3 linked regions of the Drosophila melanogaster genome follow. The protein of the gene in region 2 interacts with the protein of the main gene of each other region in a pairwise test. Each region holds a gene or a part of one and is shown on either strand. Other genes may lie near its edges.

Region 1 (4,863 bases), on a different chromosome or scaffold from region 2:
CAATTTCAGAGCCTCGAGTCTCTAGTTGAACAAACAAAAAAGGAAACTAAGCTAAACAAAACATTTCTCTTTCCCAGCTGGCCGAATATTTTTTTAGCTTCGTTGCCGTTTGGTGGAGTTTTCAATTGGTCACAACATCGCAGCTTGTTGTTGCGCATTAAGTTGTTGCTACAGGAACAGAGGACCTTCACATAGCTTGCAGCTGAGGAAATGTTTTAGCATTTCACACTGGCCTGGTATAAATCACAGATCCCGATGTTATTAGGCATCCAATTCCCGTTTCCAATGTCCACGACATGAAACTGTTGCCTCTGCTGTAGGTTTATTGAATTCGTTGATAATGCCAAGGGCAGTGTGGTGGTACACTGCGGAGGGAGAGCTTTCCTTTTCGGGACAATAAATCTCCTGTTTCCAGAGCTTAGTTCAAACAATTTCTAGCGCATTTAAATCTTGTACAAAGCCAATGCCCTGTTGCGGTGGAAGCGGGTTCTCTAACTATGTTTCAATGTTCTCGGCAGTACAGTGCCAGATTATTTGATTTACTCACCTGAAACCACAATTAGTGCAAAAACAAGTTCCTTTTCTTGTTCAGGTTTAGTTACTCAAAATGTCTGAAGGATTTGTTTAAATGGGCATTAATCTACGACTCCTTTAAGATTTCGCATGCCACAGCAATTTAAAAAAGGGGTTCGGATCTGAAGGAAATAATCTGATGGAAAGAACACATTTTTCTCCGTTTTGTGCTTAGAATCGGCATTGATGGCAGAATGGCAATCTGGAAAATGACAACAATAAGGGTTGGCCCAGCCTAACGTACTTTACCTTTTGGCTGGCGGCATTTTGCTTATTTTCGTTTCCCTCAATTGCTGCCCAGTCTGCGGACGAAGTTCCCTGAAATGCAATTTTGTAGCGAGAAAATCCGATAAAAAATTTCTTCAGCCTTCAGAGATGGCGGCATTCTCTATGCGTCTGATCTGAGCAATTAATGGGCACAAAGAAGCAAATGTGGATTCGAATATTGTTAACAGAATATAACCCCAATCTTGAACTGCTTTCAAGCAGTTATGCAAAAAAAAAAAAGACCAAAAAACATCGATTCCCCCTGTCAGTCTCTATGTTATCCTTGGCTTTTTGAAACGTCTAAGAATATGATGACGTGCCGTCACCAAACCGCACTCTTTATATATGCACACATTCAGCGTAATTTTTATTCACATCCAATAGATTTAAGTATCCAGGGCTTGGGTGGCTCCATCACTTCGTGAACAGCAGCACATTTATGCACAGTTCAAAGACCAAAATGAATATTTTATTTGATTTGATTCCAGGCGGGCTGACTGCTGAGCTTGGCTGCAAGAAAAGCATTTTCGAGCGCTCAAGCTCTGGTATAATAAACTCCAGGGATAGGGCCAATTGTCTGCCGCCTTGGAATTGCGCGGATTCGCCGCTTGTCGGATAGAATATGTAGATGTGCGTGGGAATGCCTGTGGAAACGTCTTAAATGCTCTAATGCCCACAACGAAACCTTGCTCAACGCTGCAGGCATGCCTTCTCAAAAATACCTCCAAAGAAAGAGATCAATCTAATAATCTGATTAGTTGGTGCAGCGCTTATATTTCTATTGAACGGCCGAAGATTCTATCTTAAGGGACCAAGCCCCCACTTATCCCTGAAGCTGATTGATCAGGCGACGCTGCCTCACCAGCAGCTGCTCCATCCTGCGCCTCCTCTTTTCCTGGCGCTGTCTCCGCTCCTGGCGACGACGGCGCTCACGAGCCAGGCGACGACGGCGAGCACGTCTGCGCCTCCTGGCCTCCGCCGAGGAGGAGGAAGAGGAGGCAGTGGTCGTGGTGGATGCGGAGGAGGCAGTGGTGGTAGTGGTGGTGGCGGATGAAGCCGTGGTAGTGGTGGCAGAGGAGTCGGTGGATGTGGTCGCCGTCGAGGATGTAGATGTGCTGCTACTGCCCTCCTGAGCCAGGAGCAGACACAGGAGCACGCTGAGAAGTAGAGCGAATAGGAAGCGCATTTTGTTGTGTCTAATCTAATCTAATCAGACGGCCTTTTATACTCAATACGGGGTAACAATTAAACAAATATCATGTATCGGAAATCGGAAATGTGTGCACAGCCTATCCAGCTCGTCAATGTCTTGGGCTTGTAAGGTCAACAGAGTAAAAGAGTCGATCGATATATTATTGATAGTGAGCCGGGTTTAACTCGTTGAAAACGAGATAAAAAGGTAATATTATAACGCTTCTTACGCCTAATTATGTATGGCGACCACGTCACGTCTGAAGGAAATATTTGGTATAACCTATTTATGTACATTCACATCTTATCTGAGTAAAAATCGCAGCACTTGACGAGTTAAAGGTGTTTTATTTGTTCTTCATTTGAGCTTTGCGTACCCAATTAACAGTTTTGTGCTGTTGCATTTTGGCTTATATCCATTTAAGTTCTCCGAAATTAGAGATTTATTTTCCAAAAAAACAAATACGTGGTTTACATTATTTTTAAACCAAACACAACAAAGATGTGTATAATTATATTAATTTTATACCAGTTACCGATTTCAAAATTCGTCTCGATTTGAAACAGGCTACTCCTGGAATGAGACTAAACTAGATTTGTTGAAAAGTATGTAACAGGCGTTTCCGACCCTATTAATTATACATATGTATATGCTTGATCACTATTACTCCGTCTGTCCGAACGAATGTCTCGACCTCAGCAACTCTAAAAGCTAGAGAGTTGAGAACGTTGAACTCCCTCAAGCCGCTTAAATATGCCACTCCCACACGTTTTTGTGCTCCAATAAAGTAGAATTATCAGAATGTACAATCAAATGTTTTATTATCTTGGCGAACTTGAACAATGAAAGAATTTAGCTTTCACATATTTACAACAGCTTTTCCTAAATTGTCATAAGCCGAGTCTTTCCGAAGACCTTCATCCGCTCAGCTGGTTGATCTGTCGACGTTGATTCTCCAGTTGCTGGCGCAGCCTCTGAGTCCTGCGCTGCCTTCTGCGCTCCCTTCGTTGCCTCTCACGCGCCAGACGACGGCGACGGGCGCGCCTGCGCCTCCTGGCCTCCGCAGAGGAAGAGGATGAGGAGGAGGCAGTGGTCGTGGTGGATGCGGAAGAGGCAGTGGTGGTAGTGGTGGCGGACGAAGCCGTGGTAGTGGTGGCAGAGGAGTCGGTGGTTGTGGTCGTCGTCGAGGATGTAGATGTGCTGCTACTGCCCTCCTGGCTAAGCAGGAGGCATCCTAGGACGGAAAGAACAATTACGATCGAGAAGCGCATGCTGAATGTCTTTGACGCATTTGAGACGTTACGCATGTTTTTATAGCAAATTTGAATAATGGTGGTTTACCAAAAGCGTGTAAGCTAATAGGTCTGCTGGATTGTTAGCTTTAACTAAGGTAAATTTTGGTAATGTTTATTCAGATTGAGAAATTATGTGTGCCGCCATATAGTTTAAACGTTGCTCTTGAGTCTTAACACACATAATAATGTAATAGATTTACGGTAATGAGCGCGTTTCTCAACCAAGTTTCCGGGTTCAACATCATATAAATAGGCTATTCTCCAAATCATAAGATATAACTGCTTAGAATGCGATTCATATTTGTTCTGCTCTTGGCCCTTCTCGGCTGCCTCCTGTTTGCCCAGCAGGGCTGCGAAGCTACGGGAACGAGCACTGAAAGCTCCTCGGATAGTACCAGCGCCTCGGACACCTCCACTACCGCGTCCTCTTCCTCCGACACAACTGAAGCCTCAACGTCTTCCGACACCACCACAGTGGCCTCGTCTGCCACGACTACCACCACTTCTTCGTCCTCGTCCTCGTCGTCGTCCTCCAGCGCGGCCGCCCGTCGTCGCAGGGCCGCCGCCCGTCGTCGTCGCTTGGCCCGCCAACGGCGCAGGCGCCAACAGCGCCAAAGGCGCCAACAGCGCCAAAGGCGCCGCCGCCAACAGCAGCGCAGAAGACGCCAGCAAAGGCAGCGCAGTGGATAGACGATTGCTACAGTCGAAGAGGAGGCTGCTGCAGCTAGAAACCTGTCGAGTCAGACAGCTAATACAAGCCAAAGATTGATGTTTTAACTAAATTGCAGTTGCGTTGCTGTGGGATATTCCGTTTTTTAAAAATAAAGAAAATTTTAAAAAATAAATTATTTATATTTACAACTTAGAGGGGGTCTCTTACCTCAATGGGAATTTCTGAAATGGAGTTGTTTGTTTTTTCAGTCTGTTCAAGCTTTCTGTTCTGGCAAAACTAAGTAAAGTATGTCTGCTTTCTCAATTGATGATTGTGTCGTGTCTAATTATTAACTCAAATGCACTATAATCTTAGAGACCATGTTACGTTTTTCAAATTATTATTATTTGCCAAAGATAATACGGACTTAAAATCACGAAAACGTGCTAAGATGGCAAAGCACGAAATTGTAAACTAAATTGTCGCTATCAAATAAGTTGACTATCCACAAAAGGATTATAGATCCTTGGGGCTTGGCTTGTGAAAACCAACTCAATAGGATCCAGGTTATCCAGAATAGGGCTGCGAAATTGGTCACTGGTTGTGTATATGTGTATTTCATTAAATAAACCAGCACTCGAGTCTCTACTATGAAAGGCTAAGGCACCACAGGAATAGTCTGGCAAATACCCTGTATAGTACACGCCCACCAATGAGGCTTAATAGAAGGCAACCGAAAGACCTCATTCTTCGATCTCCTTCAAGGAGGGCCAGTAGACCCTGTCCTTTATACAACTGTTATTGTCCCTTTTTGTTTTTTAGATTTTAGATACAGATAACTTTAGTAAGCTAAATTAATAGCTTCCATGGTTCCAAAGGGGGAG
Region 2 (8,646 bases):
TATAGTTGATTTAATGGCACTTTGAGTCATTTTCAGCTCTTCAACATTTCTGTGTGCATACAAAAGGACCATTAAATGTTAATAGGCGCCCTCATTCATTGGGAATTCTCTTGATTTTTCCAGCTCTTCTCGGTGGTGGTCTTTGGCTGCATATCCTCGGAGGGTTGGACGGAGAAGGATGGCAAGGAGTACTGCCTCTATAATGGCGACGGCATGGCCTGCAAGTATGGCAACATGGTGGGCGTCTTCGGGTTCCTGGCCTCCATGGGTTTCATGGGTGGCGAGTTCCTGTTCGAACGGATGTCGTCGGTGAAGAGCAGAAAGCGTTATGTCATGGCCGACATGGGTTTCTCGGGTAAGTAGTTCTGGCCAAATATGCATATATTCCTCTGACAGCACATAACTAATGGCAATCCATCGTCGCAGCCCTCTGGACATTCATGTACTTCGTGGCCTTCTTGTACTTGTGGTCGCAATGGAGCTCATCCGCCCCACCGCCGCTGGGAATCGGAGCTGGCAGCATGAAGACCGCCATTTGGTTCTGCCTCTTCTCGATTGTCAGCTGGGTTAGTAGATTTCTGCATATTTGGTTGGAGAAGTTTCCTGATTTTTGGGCTTCTTTCTGCAGGCTCTGTGCGCCCTGATGGCTTACAAGCGTTTCCTGATCGGCGCCGGCGATGAGTTCACCTCTGCCTTCGAAACGGATCCCGCCAACGTGGTCCACCAGCAGGCCTACGGCTACTCCATGGACAACGACAACGACCAGTACAGCGCCTCACCATTTGGCCAGCCCCAGCAGGGTAAGTTCATGGTCTAATACAATGCCAAAGTATAAGTTGGGATATAAGATGGGATATAAACTTGCCATTCCTAGATCATTATGTACAATATATTGAAAGTACCTAATCATTCTTAGTTCTTAACTGATGTTAACCATTATAATATGTAATCTGATGATTCTCCCACACTTGGCACCTGATTAATCTGAGTTTTTCTCCCGCAGGTGGCATGGAGCAGCAACAATCCGGAATGGAGTACCAGCAGCCCACCTATTAAGGAATTACCACACTTGCTCCTCCGTTGTCCGCACACACTCACTTCGATTTTGTAGTGCAACTGGCAAGGATTTACACGACTAAACAGCTACAACACACAAGTTGGCTTTAACCATATACACCGATGTCGAACATATAACAAGAGTAACCAAAACAATAACACTTGATGCAACAAGCAGGCAGCAAAAGCAGCTGAAACCAATCCAAGCACTGGCTTTAGCTATTGGAAGAGTCAAGGGATATATCCAAACCGATCCGATCCGATATGAGATCGGATGGGATGAGATGGGATGGTTCGGATAAGGAGTAGTTTGAATAACTCGTAAGCTAGCCCTTTAAGTTGAGTGTGCAGTTTTTTGTAGTGGAAATTTGTTGCAATATATATATATATATATATATATATATATATTATACAGATATACAACTAGTTATATATCCCATATGTATACATGCAGACCGCGCTTTCAACGTTGTTAGTTATTTAGTGTTTACGTGTACGTACCATTTGAATTGATTTGAATTGATTTGTTTTGGTGCCAGACCCTGGTCCCCCCGATGATCAGCTTGTTAGCAATGGCAATAGCTCGAGACAGAGGAAAACATGATGTTTTTTTAGATAAATTTACACACGTGCAGTGCAAATAGTTGATGCAAATAGTTGATGCGATTCGGCCACCTGAAGGACATACATATGTACGAACCACACTGCTCAAGCCACATATCCAATTTACCATCTGAGATTTACCCAACAAATATAGAACCTGTGGCCAGGGTCGATGCTTGGTTAGATGAGCAGCAAATGCAACCACTTACAATAAACGCCAAACAATATGTAAATTCTAAACCATAAGAGATTCAATAACCGTAGAATTGTTGTGAGGGATTCAGTACTCGGGAGATTACTGCAGGAATATTTCTAGTTATGGTTCGCAAAAACACGCTGAAGATATGAAATGGTATAGGGCTTGTTCAAGGCTTACTGTTGCCACCCCCTTCCTACCAAAAGATTTGTATAGTAACTATAAATGCCCCAACAATACCCATTATGCATTGTAAAGAAGCGGTGTGTTGTCCACTTCGATGTACTCAGATATCAATGAATGTAAACATATTGATTACATAAAAACGTTCACTTAGTGCAGCAACTTGCGATAACCTACAAATGTATTTGTTAAATTAAATACTATATACATATATATTATATATATTTACGGATTGTATGTGTAATACGAATAATGCGCCCTGTTAAATGCAACAAGGAGATAGGGATCTCAGCAAATATACAAGTATAAATTAATCATTTAGAGTTCGTGTGCGTTATAAAACAAAAAGGTAGTGAAAGAAACATAAAACAAAATTTACTCATTTAAAACTTAATGATCGATTTAAATAGCGAACCCAGCCATAAAATCGGCTTGAACATTTGCGAAACACTATTGTAATAGATAAACTCCTCAAGCAAGATTCTCAACTGGACAGCCCCTCAAGAAATAATAATAAATACATATTTTTAAAAATTAACCCAAAATCACTAAGGTATTCTCTTTGCGTTAGTAGCAATATTTTTGCGTGTATTTAAAAGGTGACAAACATTTCATCTGAAAATGTACTCGGTACAATATCTTATCATCTAGTTTTTAAAAAACATTTTTTTTGTATTTCTTCTCCTTGCTTATTTTTGTAGTCGTTTCTTCTTTTGAAAACTCTGGAGCTAAATTAGGTCGTTGTTTGGTTTTCCACTCTTCTACAGTTAGATCACTCCACTGATTTATGCCCTTCTTGAAAGATTCCACTCCCAATTCGAACTGCTCATTGTGTTCCTGAATCGCTTTCCAATTGTCGCAAAATATAGTTCGGCGTTTTTCTGTTTCTTTTTCATCTTGATATTTCGCACCGAAATCAATCTGTAATAAAGATATATTCATTCAAATTCTCAAATTCTATTTACATTGCAAGCCAAATATTACCAAAAACTTTTTCCATGCTGCCTGACATGTATTATCATCCCTCTTATCCTTAGATATTTTTGTAGTAGCTTCAACTTTAGAAAACTCTGGATTAAAAGCAGGTCGTTGTTTGTTTTTCCACTCCTCAACGGTCAAATCACTCCACTGATTTATACCCTTCTTAAAAGAAATATTTCCCAAATCGAATTGAACATTGTGCTTATGTATCGACTTAAAGTTGTCGCAAAATACATTTCGTCGCTTTTCGGTTTCAGTATCATCTTGATAAGACGGCTTAAAGTCAATCTGCAATTGATAAAAGCAACTTTAATAAAAATTCTTTAAATACCCAACCATATCTTACCAGGAACTTCTCCCAAGCCGGCTGGCATATGATATTATCATTATCTATTTCGGATGTAGATGTAGTGGCTTCTTCCTTACGAATCTCGGGAGCAGGACTAGATCGTTCCTCAATAGTATGATCAGTCCACTGATTTATGTCCCTCTTGAAGGGCTCTGCCCACTTTTCATACTGCACATTGTGCTCCACAATCGCCCTCCAGTTTGCACAAAATACATTGCGGCGTTTCTCGGTTTCATTTGCATTCTTATACTGCGCTCCAAAGTCAATCTGTAATTCATATCATACATATTAATACCAAGTTGGTTTTAATAACCTAGCTAATCTTACCAAAAACTTTTCCCATGCAGCCTGGCAATTGACTTTGTCTCGCTCCTCCTTTGATGATTCACTAGCGATTTCTGGCATAACTTTGGGAGTTTGTTTCTCTTTCCACTCTTCAAAGGTAAGATCACTCCACTGGTTGATACCCTTCTTGAAGCTGACAACTCCCAAATCGTATTTCAAATTGTGATCGCGAACTTTTTGCCAATTTTCGCAGAATATATCACGTCGCTTTTGCCGTTCGTAGTCATTATCGTAGTGTACATCAAAGTCGACCTTGGAGTGTATACAAATAACTTCCTTGAACGATACCCTTTCTTGGAATTATGCGATCAAAAAACTTACCAAGAACCTTTGCCATGCAAACTGGCATTCCTCCTCGAACTCAGATAAGCCAGAGGTGTGTTCAATTGTGGGTGTCGATGAGTCAGCGTCGCTTTTCCCAGTAGTAACCCCAATCTCTGGATTGATTTTTTGTGTAGCAGGTGATGATGTGCTTACTGGTACGCCCAGAGCCACGCCCATCAAATACAGGAGCAGTGGGACGCCAAGTAAAATTCGAGCTGAGGTCATCTTGAACACTTTTCTCGTACTGCGCTCCGCACTGCCAGAATCGCGAATTATATGGGGAATACATACATATATAATTGCAAGTACTCAAAATCAGCTGCATTCAGAGAGAAATCTAAATAAAAACCGACAACGAGAGCGATTTCTTTTGCTCTCTTTTCTCTTAAGTGTTGATCTTTTAAAAGAGTAACTGCATTTACGTGACCTTGCCCACCAAATATATAACAACTGGCATAATTGCTTTATGATTTGTTGCAATAGTATTGAATTAAATTAATTTGAAATTTAAGCCCCGTTTTTATACCCATTACTCGGCGGGAATACTAGGCTCGTTGATAGGAATGTAACAACTACATTCTAGATATGTATGTGTTTTCCACACAAATGCTGTAAACAAACGTTACGCTGCTTGCAGCTTTTTCTGATTAACGGGTATGCATTAGTCGTGACACCCGACTGTAGCGTTATTTCTTGTTTATATTAAATTTGTCGCAAATTTACACGGTTATACGGTTATGTGTGCATTGTTCATTTTCTATCCACTTTGCCAAATTGAAATTTATTACTTTCTCAAACAACTTCCCACACAGCGTTGTTCTTCATTAAGAAAATGTTTCTCAAAAAATAAATAAGACCGAAAATTAATTTTTGTGTGCATAGCCGTTAAGACTACGATCCAATTTCTCAGAATTTCCCCAGAAAGCAACACAAACCGATAAGGCACTTGTTTCATTTATTAACCGCGTGACTCATGGAATCGATGTGGTGACCCACACAGCTTACGACTACAGTAACAAAGTTATAAATTCGTGGTTTTTAATTGACTATACTATCTAACTAATTGCATGGCGCAGTTGTGAGCCTACAGAATGGGGTAGCTGCACTCGCTGGCGATGCCGCAGAATCCACCTGCATTCCGGAGGATGCGCATAAAGCCGCCCTCGCCCCAATTCTGAGAGTACGAGTTCTTGATGATCCAGTAGTCGCGTCCATTTTCCGTTCCATAGCCCACCACGGTTACCGAGTGATTCAGTTCGCCCTGATTGCACTCCTCGTCCTCGTAGATGCCACCGCTGTACTGCTCAAACGAAATGGTGTCCGCGTTCATGGAGCACGCCAACGGTCCCAACGTGGCAATCACCTCCTTCATCTTCTCCTCATCCCCGGGAGTAATGGTGGCATAATCGCGAATTTTCACCAGACTCTCGCGCGGTGGACGTCCGGCGGTTTCGTTCTGACGGCACTGCATCTCCGTCTGTGTGTACGGATATTTGTTGGCCAGCGTTACACCGTGATCGCGTATGTACTCGAAACCGTACTCCTGGAAGCCACCGTCACAGCCCATGTTGCCGTAGTCATCGGCACAGTCCACCAGATTCTGCTGCGACAGCGAGGCCAGCACTCCAGTCCGCCGGAATAGATGTCCTTCGAGCGCTCCTGTGGTGGCGAACGACCAGCAGGCACCGCATCCCACACCCTGGAATCCCGGTGGCGTCACTCCGCCCTTCTCGCGCCAATCGAACATCTCGGGAAGATTGGCACTCGCCGGATTCCTGGCAGTCACAAAGTTGATATGGCCATTCGTATATCTCCTGCAAGGTAAGTAAAACATTTTAGTATTCCGTTAAGCAAAGATTAAAGCAAATTAGTAGCTTACTTAAGTGGCAACCAGACTACATTTAAATGTTATTCATAATGTTCTTAAATGTATGACAAACAACCGATAAGTTATGAAACATTTGTTATGGAGCTTCGTCGTAATAAATAAGTTCGATATGGAAGGGTTTTGTTTGTTTCCACCCATTTGGTTATAGTTTTCGGGAAACCACAAACCTATGGTCGGAATATTTGATCAATTCTGATTTCTTGATTAGCATAACCGGGAAACCAATCGGCACCTACGTAACGTTACAAATCATATGGACGACGATACCGAAACCCGTTTGAAAGTTATAAGCTGGGTGATAATTCGTTTATGGCCAAAAAGGGGACTTCCCCCGAGCTCTAGATATGCGTAAGATGGTGCTACTTACTCGCCAAATTCGGAGATTTTGGAGCCCAGCAAGGTGGCTATCTCCTTTCTGGTCATGTCGGCCAGCGTATTGACGCCCAGCCGGAATCCGGACACGCCGTTGTCGGCGTTCTTATTGCTCAGCGTGATCAGCGACATCTTGGCCGCGAAGATGCTCTCGCGATAGACTCGCTCCTCATCCGAGTACACCTTGCCCGTCTGCCGGAGGAAGTCGTCGAAGTTTTGCACATCGCAGAGCTTGGGAAACGACTGCAGTTGCTGCAATGACACAGCACCCAGCAGGGCCAGTCCCAGCGTCATCTGCAGCCACATCGTTGAGCACATCCGCATCTGGAACGGTGGACAGCAGAGCGAGTGGAAAGCGTTAGGTAACCACTTGGCCAATACATAGTTACACCATCCCATCCCATCTCATCGCATCCCGCGACCCCTTTTCATGCCCCTTTTCTTGCCACATCTATCTGTCAACGTTAATCACTTGGCCGCAACTCGACCCGTTCATTCACCTCCAATCGAACCAACCTGCCGTGCAGATCGTGAAGTTTCCTATAAGTGGAGCCGCTATAAATATTTATTTATGGACATATTAAAAGCAACGTTGCTTCCTAGAAAATCTGCACAATTTGAAAACAGGCCACACTCAAAATCTATGCGTTTATTCGATATTAAAATGTTTATCCAGTAGATACTTTTTATTGGTAAATATTCAGTGGAGTGTCTTCATTGACATAAGAAATGATGTTATGTCTTTTTGAGTAATTTGAGTAAGTACAATGTTTGGCAAAACCAAAATAAAACAAAGAAACTAATAAATTGTTTGTTTAACAAGCTTGGTTTTGAAGAAACTAAACCGTTTAATGATCGCCTATGCAGAAATCAACATTGTTTCTAAGACAATCAAAAACATAATGATCGATTAAACGAATAAAAAACTAATTATTATTGGTTTTTTCTATCACGCTGACTATCCGCTTCTGTCAGCAATCGCGTTAATGGGTAATTAATCATGCGCTGTCTTAATTTCTCAACTTTATTCGATCTTACCAAATTAAATAGACTTTTGAAACTAGCAGAGCATTCGCTGTTCGTATTTCCGGTCTGTTTTACGAATTCGATCACCGATGAGACGTGAATAATTACTGGGTGAATGAGCTAATTTGCATATGCTTAGCATAATTACATTAGTGCAAGCATTCGATTCGGATGAATTTCGAAATGTATGAATGATTTCGCGGCTTCGTCTCTCCTTTTATTTCCTCAGCTCCCAAATTGGCTCCATCGAGGGCCCAAATAAATCAAAATCAAATCTAGATTAGGCAACCGCAGGCTAAGATTTCACTTTCGTTGCCATAAAATACTGATCACATGCTGTGCCCGGTGAAAGGCGATGGATTCCCCTGTTTAAAATCAAATTTCGAGTCGAATGTAAGCAATTGCAGTTCTCTTGTCTTCGACGGACCATTATGAATCGAAAAATAACAACACACACGACACAATATGTTGAAAAGATCGACTTAATCACCTTTTATGGATATCTGGGAATGATATGTTCAAAACACCTTCCGCGTTCACAAATCACAAAACTATTCGAAGATGCTGAAGACTCGAAGACCGGCGAGATTATAAGCGGCGCTCGACCCGCACACCTTGGTTTTATAGAGTCTGGAGCTGGACCGTGGGACATATGGCCAAAACTGGATGGGCCACCAATTTGAAACTTTTGGAATACCGACAAGAGCATATTCATCTTCATTTCGACGGGCTATCTGGTTTATGGGTCTATAGCTGTCTCCATTATATGCATGCTTAGTAATTGTCGATTGCCTAATGTGTTGGTGGCTATAACAACGCATATTAACTCATTTGAAACAAAAGAGAAAATAGTCAAACATGTTTTTAAATAGTTAATAATTGATGAGATCGAAGTCACAGTTGTAGCGCCTATAGGATTACAAATTTCAATGCAGCAAGCAAAGTTTTAGGAAAGTTTTTAAAGCGTCTCTAAGTAGTTTGTACTATTATATCCCTTGTAAATAAATAACACTTTGATTTTTATGTAAATAATACAATTACAGAATGATAAAGATGCAGACGGATGAATAATGGTCTCGACTTTCAATAACTATAAATTGAAATTGAACCATGAAGAGATTGATTAGTGGCCAATTTATTTGCATTTCAATTAACAGATTCGTGGAATCTGAATTTGTTGTTGCGTCTACTAAAAAGTTCATTGACTGCTGAAATCCCTTATGGACTTACCTACATATTTGCAAAATTTCAAGATGATCCCTCATTACTACTTCGAATATATACTACCTGTAGTATATGCTAGACTACCGCAATGGAAATTAC
Region 3 (6,534 bases), on a different chromosome or scaffold from region 2:
TGCCTTTAATTCAGTACATAGTATACGAAGGACTTTTCATCTTATACATACATGTATATATATTGATAGTTCCTGGATCTAGCAAAAGTTTAAAAAGTTGTTACTCGCCCGCGCCGTCGCTTCGATATCCAACAACATCTAAATACAAGTATGTAATAATGTAAGTGTAATTGCAATGGAACGTTTACTTTACTGACTCAATATCCTGATCCCTTCCGCAGGACCTTCGATCAACATCTATGCGACATCTATGCTTTATGCTCATTATGCGGCTATTCTCGTACTTGTCTCACATTTTTTTTAGGTTTTTCGTTTGTTTTTTTTTTTTTGTTTTGTTTTGTTTTTGGTTTTACCTCAGTTTTACAACATTAATTTTAATTACAAAAGTTATTAAATAATACAAAATACAGTTAGAGTTTACAGTTCTCCATTTCGTCTAGAAACATCTCGCTTTTAACTTTTAGTTGAAATTAATGCACGAATAAACAGAATAATTGGATTATGAATTACAGAACACTCGAAACAAACTCAGAACTCGGAAACGAAACAAAAGCAAGAGTTGGGTTGGGTTGGGTTGGGGGAATCCCCCCCTAGCAGCGGAAATTAGTGGCAAAATTGTAACAAAGAAACTACGGATGAGCCATTTAGCCTGGCCACGCTTAGGTTACATAATGGTTTTATAGTTAATAATATTACGTTTAAGCAGAGTCCGTCGGTGGAACACCACCGACCAACTGTCTAACTCTTTTAGAGCAGGGCGCACTTGCGCTTGGACTTGGGCTGCAGCACGGGGCACAAAACCGACCGGATGGCCTCGTCGAAAACGGTTTTCAGACCCTTCTGCGTCAGGGCCGAGCACTCCAGATACTTGACCGCTCCGATTTCCTTGGCCATGGCCAGGCCCTGCGGATAGGTGATGGGCGCCAGTTTCTTGTCCCTCAGCTTTTCGATTGTGTTCTTGTCGTCGCGCAAATCCAGCTTGGTGCCCACCAGGATGATGGGCGTGCTGGGGCAGTGGTGGCGCACCTCCGGATACCACTTGGCCCGCACGTTCTCGAACGATGCCGGATTCACCAGCGAGAAGCAGATGAGGAAGACATCGGTCTGGGGATAAGACAGTGGCCTCAGTCGGTCGTAGTCCTCCTGCCCGGCCGTATCCCACAGGCCCAGGTTGATGGGCTTGGCGTCCACCATCACGTTGGCCGAGTAGTTGTCGAACACGGTGGGTATGTACTCGCCGGGAAAGGCATTGGTCGTGTAGCTGATCAGCAGGCAGGTCTTTCCCACGGCTCCGTCGCCCACGACGACGCACTTGATCGCCTGCATGGTTCGATTTCCTCGACTTTCTGGACTGGAGTGCTATGTGCCTAGAGATTGGAGATTGAAGATTGCAGATTTCTGATTGCGGGGGTGCTTCTTCTTCAGGCGTTTTTGGTTCTTTTTGGGGCGGCGGCGGAGGACTGTTGCTTGCGTGGGTCCTTTTGCGGGGTTATCTCTGGAAGCGCGACTCCTTTTCCAGTGCCTTGTGGTCCTCGGGGCGACTGATGATCGCGCCTTACGTTCTGGGCCTCTTTAACTCGCGTTTTGTGCGTTAATTTCCCTAATTTTCTCAACAAAAAAAGTAAATTTTCTGTGTACTGCAGTGTGACCGCGGCTGGACTGTTCAAATTTACCATGGGAAAGCTGTAAAATACTAAAACAAATTAAAACTGCATTGAAATGGTCACCCTAAGATTTGTAAATTATTTCAAGGCTTCGTCCTTAAAGCAAACATAAAACCCTTAAGTTTCGCATTTACTTATAATTAAATCCGAATTACAAAATATATAATTTCATTGTCTTCCTGTTTATGTCAGTGATTTGAAGTGAGAACAAGCTGTTTTTAGTAGGGCTGGGCCCCAGAAGTGCAGCTTCTGGGCTTTGGCTGCACCTGGTCACACTTCTGGCAGCAAATAATACAATTTCGAAAATTAGAATTTATTTGCTGCTCAATAGCCAAGTCAATAACACCTGTTCCTTGCCCATCCAGAATGTCTGACGTGTTCATCGTGTCCGCCGCCCGCACGCCCATTGGTAAAACCAAGATAAATCGGCTGCACCATACACGATAACCACATTCTAATTGGAAACTTTCTCTTCGTGTTTGTCCAATCTGAAAAATCAACAGGTAGCTTCAATGGAACGCTTTCTAAACTGAAGGCCTCCGACCTGGGCAGCGTGGTCATCCAGGAGGTACTCCGGCGGGCGAATGTGGAGGGCCAGGAGGTCAACGAAGTCATCTTGGGCCAGGTGGGACCCATATCATAACTGTTTCTCCTCCTATCTTACCGATCTATTTGTTATGTAAATATCTTTGTTAGGCTCTAAGCGCCGGTCAGGGTCAGAATCCAGCACGTCAGGCTTCACTCAAGGCGGGTCTGCCCATTCAGGTGCCAGCCTACGGCATAAACATGCTATGTGGTTCCGGCTTAAAGTGAGTTTGTCCCGTACAATTCCGTACATTTACAATGGTTTTTACCATTTCCAGAACTGTAGCGCTGGGTTACCAGGCCATCCGCTCGGGAGACGCACAGATTGTTGTGGCAGGAGGTCAGGAGAGCATGTCCCTGGCTCCACACGTCATGCATCTGCGGCAGGGCGTCAAAATGGGTCCGGGCACTATGGTGGACTCGATGATCCACGACGGCCTAACCGATGCCATGGAGAACATACACATGGGCATCACTGCCGAGAATCTGGCCGATAAGTATAACATCAGTCGTGAGGCCCAGGATGCCTATGCCGTGCTGTCGCAAAATCGAGCCGAGGAGGCCCAAAAAAAGGGTTACTTCGACAAGGAGATTGTGCCCGTGGAGATCAAGGATCGCAAGGGTACGACCACATTCAGCAAGGATGAGTACATCAAGGCGGGCAGCACCGTCGAGGGTATACAGAAGCTCAGGGCAGCCTTCAAAGAGGTGGGTCTAAGATAAATACAAGAAGAGCGAGAGTTAACCCACTTTCTCTTGCTTATGTAGGGCGGCTCTATAACCGCTGGCAATGCCTCAGGCGTCAACGACTCCGCTGCTGCCGTACTACTGATGTCCGGCGAGGAGGTGGCCAGGAAGGGTCTTAAGCCGCTGGCTAGGATTGTGGGCTGGACTCAGAGTGGCATTGAGCCAAAGGTGATGGGACTGGGACCAGTCACAGCTGTGGAAGCATTGGTAGTTACACGGAAATTCCACTTCTATACATGCTCCTAAGTTTTCACATTTTTCAGCTTCAAAAGATTAACTGGAAGCGTGAGGAAGTGGATCTTTACGAGCTGAACGAAGCATTCGCCGCCCAATCACTGGCTGTCCTGCAGGACCTGCAGCTGGATGCTCAGAAAGTAAATGTCAATGGCGGTGCCATTGCCCTGGGCCACCCGATTGGAGCTTCAGGTGCCCGTGTCTTGGTCACTTTGCTCTATGCGCTGGAGCGCACCGGTGGAAGAAAGGGAATCGCATCGCTCTGCATCGGTGGCGGCATGGGAATCGCCCTGGCCGTGGAGCGCCTCAGCTAGTCTTAATTCATTGTCATTCAAGCTATTTATTGCCTTTTCCTGTTTCCCACTTAAGTGTAAAGTTTATTTCTCTATTCGCGTAGTATTCGCACGTACTTAAAGGCACAACCTCCCAAGTCGCAAAATCTACTCAATTAAAATTCAATTGAAAATACTTGCATTGCAGCATATTTTTAGCTGTTGAAAAGAGGAATTGTATACATTTTTCCAGTTGCGTCAGCTGAAAACTATTTATAAAACAGCATTTGTTATGATGATGCACAACCGATTTATTTGCTTTTGTTTCTGTTTCTACACTAGAAATTATTTGTACATTGTAAATTCAATTAGCTATTAACTGCAAGTCGGAGAGAACAGTATTGGGTCGATTCCTTGCTATTTTAAAATAAGTAAGGGCATTGCATCATTATAAAATAGGTAGGCTGACAAAACTAGTAACTATCCAAATGTAAACTTATACATTTAATTGAGCTAACGCTTGAGTTAAATAGCATTGCTTGAGAACAAGACACCCTCTTTTCCGCTCATTGTCACATGTATCATTTCATATGTAGACTCCGAGCTCTCCGAGTACTTTTCCAGTACCAGTAACAGGTAACTTGTTTAGATCTTCAGCATAAGCATCGCGGTCATCGAAGGTCCCACTGCCCAAAGATCGAAAAAATAAATATAGTATTTACAGAGACACTACTGGCGATTTATAAACACTCTTCGTAATTTCTTATCGTGGAAGTTAGTTATTTATTGTGCCAATAACAATAATATCGGGCATAGTTGTGGCCTTTGGAATAAGACCACGAATCTCGCATTTCGCAAAGGGGAGAGCCCAAAATATAATACAGTAAACATATTACAAAAGTACTAGCTATTGCTGACATGAATTTGTTAAGGGGAACTAAACTAGTTGTAAGTCTAGTGTGGAAAATCTTATTGCTATGGCGTACACTGTAGAGGCTAAATTGAATAATTCAGAATCTCGCGTTTTTATTGCTATTATCAAATACAATTGTTTGTACGTAAGAATTTAAAGAGGCTTCCACTGATAGAAGCCTTATCGGATTTACCGCGCCTCGGAATCGCAGGTCGGTTATTGTCTCTAGGAAGATGATAGCAAGGCGCCTATCCACGCCAGCAGCTCTTCAGCTGCACAGTCTCCAGCTCCTTGGGCAGCCGCGGACTGAAGCCATACGGATTGTGGCAAACGATTCGCTTATCTGGCGCAGTCTGCGCCACTTGCTCCACCGTGGGCACGCACAACTGGGCATAGCTGCTGATGAAGCTGGACCACAGAGTTGGTGTGCAGTCCAGGGCAAAGTATGGTCCCCACAGCTGGGAGTCCAATTCGGCAGCATACGGATATTTACCATCCTCAAGGAGCAGCTCCTCGGCTATGGCCACGGCATCGAAGTCGCGGTGTTTCACCGGTGTGTAAACATCCTGGATTATGTTATCACCGAAGTATAGTGCCTTGGCTTCAGAGGGCTTCTTCTGGAGCATTCCAGCCATGGCAGTGTGCAGCTGGTGCCAGTTGCCTTGCGAGTAGACCTCGCCCGCCTTTATGTTGTCTGCCTCTTGCGGCAGTTCTGCCAGTTTTTCCACATCCACCTGCATGAACGGACGCTGCATGGTAAAGAACCCTGGTTTCTTGGCGTATGTTACCACGAAATCGAAGTATTTGCGCCAATCCTTGCCCAGCGCCTGCGTGGCCGTCAAATTGGCGAAGTCCACGTTGGAGCCGGTGAGCAAAAATAGCTTCTTGCCGGATTTTCGCAGTTCCCCGAGCCAGTTCATCACACTGGGATCTGTTCGGAGCACAAATCGTTCCGGTTCCGCTCGCATGCTCTTGAAATAGAGACTCTGGTCGTTGGCGAAGTTCTCCCGACTGTAGATGTTCATCAGGCCAGCCTGAACATCTTGCCAGACCTGATACTCCTCTCCTGCCGATGGCTTCTTTCCCCTATCGACCAGATCCACCGCCTGGGCAAAGACCAAGGCACTGGGCATATCAAAGTAATCCAATAGCGAGCGCATTTGCGTCGAGGCGTCGCCATTCCAGGTGGACAGGGGGTCCCTGTAGAAGGCAGTGGTGATTTCCCACCTTCGATCTCTTCCATAGATGGCTTGAATTTCTGTGTCGCTTAGTAGACGGGTGCCATGGGTGGCTCGCAGGATCTGGGCCTCACTGCTCAGCTTCAGCACATTGCCACGCGGTCCGTCCAGGAACAGGCCCTTCTGCAGAAAGTCCAAGTTGAGCGATTGAAGGAGTAGATCCCTGTCATAGCCCTTCTGCTCTACGAGGAACTGCTTGAGCACCTGATAGATCAGAGCGGACATCTCGTGGAGATTGTAGCGCAGAAGGGTGCCGTCCAGGTCGAAGCCCACTATTCCATAATCCTTTAGGAGCAGCTCCTTGTGATAGGATGTCATGATGGTGCTGGCCGAATACCTTGAGTTTCCCCCTGCAGATTTGTGGAAGCGCCTAACTGTCTGCTGCTGACCCGTCACTTCTCGTGTTGCTCTTCCCACTGCTGCCGGCGGTGTTCTGACTAACGTCATTGAATTTTGCGCCAATTTATCGAGATTGCGTAACAGGAGACGAACATCTGTTTGGGCCTGTTTGTGTACGTTTGTTTTTGTTTTCGTTTTCGTTTTCGTGGCCAGTCGAAGTGAAAGGGCAGGGGCGGAAAAGGCGCCCACGGTGGCTGCTCTGCCCAGCGCCAGCATCTTATCTTATCAACTAGCACATCTCATTTGTCCGAAGCGTGATCTAAATTTAAAATTAAGCCGAAATTCACTATCACTTAGGTAGTCCTCACAAAATCATTTTTCATCTATAAATGTATGTCTACAACTGCCAGAGCTGCCAACCTTTTGAAGTTGAGCAGTACTGACTTACTTCCTTGGCTTATTCCTAGCTAGATTTAGCTAGGTATAAGCAAGTGTAAGCTATCGGAACTCGATAGCAGCTTAGGTATCGTTGGCGCAATCGA

The links. Proteins that work in one complex are often made in the same cells at the same time.
Region 1: the proteins of CG6357 (region 2) and CG12546 interact in a two-hybrid assay, tested with the Drosophila melanogaster proteins (one large-scale study listed by BioGRID).
Region 3: the proteins of CG6357 (region 2) and Acat2 interact in a two-hybrid assay, tested with the Drosophila melanogaster proteins (one large-scale study listed by BioGRID).

What each region holds. Positions count from the first base shown.
Region 1 is NT_037436.4:22,690,487-22,695,349, forward strand, and holds CG12546 (uncharacterized protein), read right to left. Parts: upstream 3,327-4,863; 5' UTR 3,304-3,326; coding exon 2,950-3,303; 3' UTR 2,838-2,949; downstream 1-2,837. Other genes in the region: CG14454 (uncharacterized protein), read right to left, coding at 1,664-2,026; CG14453 (uncharacterized protein), read left to right, coding at 3,616-4,017.
Region 2 is NT_033778.4:13,835,694-13,844,339, reverse strand, and holds CG6357 (uncharacterized protein), read right to left. Parts: upstream 4,288-8,646; 5' UTR 4,263-4,287; coding exon 4,035-4,262; intron 3,966-4,034; coding exon 3,696-3,965; intron 3,636-3,695; coding exon 3,366-3,635; intron 3,308-3,365; coding exon 3,023-3,307; intron 2,960-3,022; coding exon 2,693-2,959; 3' UTR 2,597-2,692; downstream 1-2,596. Other genes in the region: Syngr (synaptogyrin), read left to right, coding at 124-355, 427-566, 629-800, 1,004-1,056; CtsL2 (cathepsin L2), read right to left, coding at 5,122-5,851, 6,293-6,621.
Region 3 is NT_037436.4:1,301,021-1,307,554, forward strand, and holds Acat2 (Acetyl-CoA acetyltransferase 2), read left to right. Parts: upstream 1-1,923; 5' UTR 1,924-2,030; coding exon 2,031-2,073; intron 2,074-2,167; coding exon 2,168-2,289; intron 2,290-2,360; coding exon 2,361-2,473; intron 2,474-2,527; coding exon 2,528-2,957; intron 2,958-3,017; coding exon 3,018-3,203; intron 3,204-3,259; coding exon 3,260-3,544; 3' UTR 3,545-3,697; downstream 3,698-6,534. Other genes in the region: Rac1, read right to left, coding at 748-1,326; Nt5a (5' nucleotidase A), read right to left, coding at 4,664-6,268.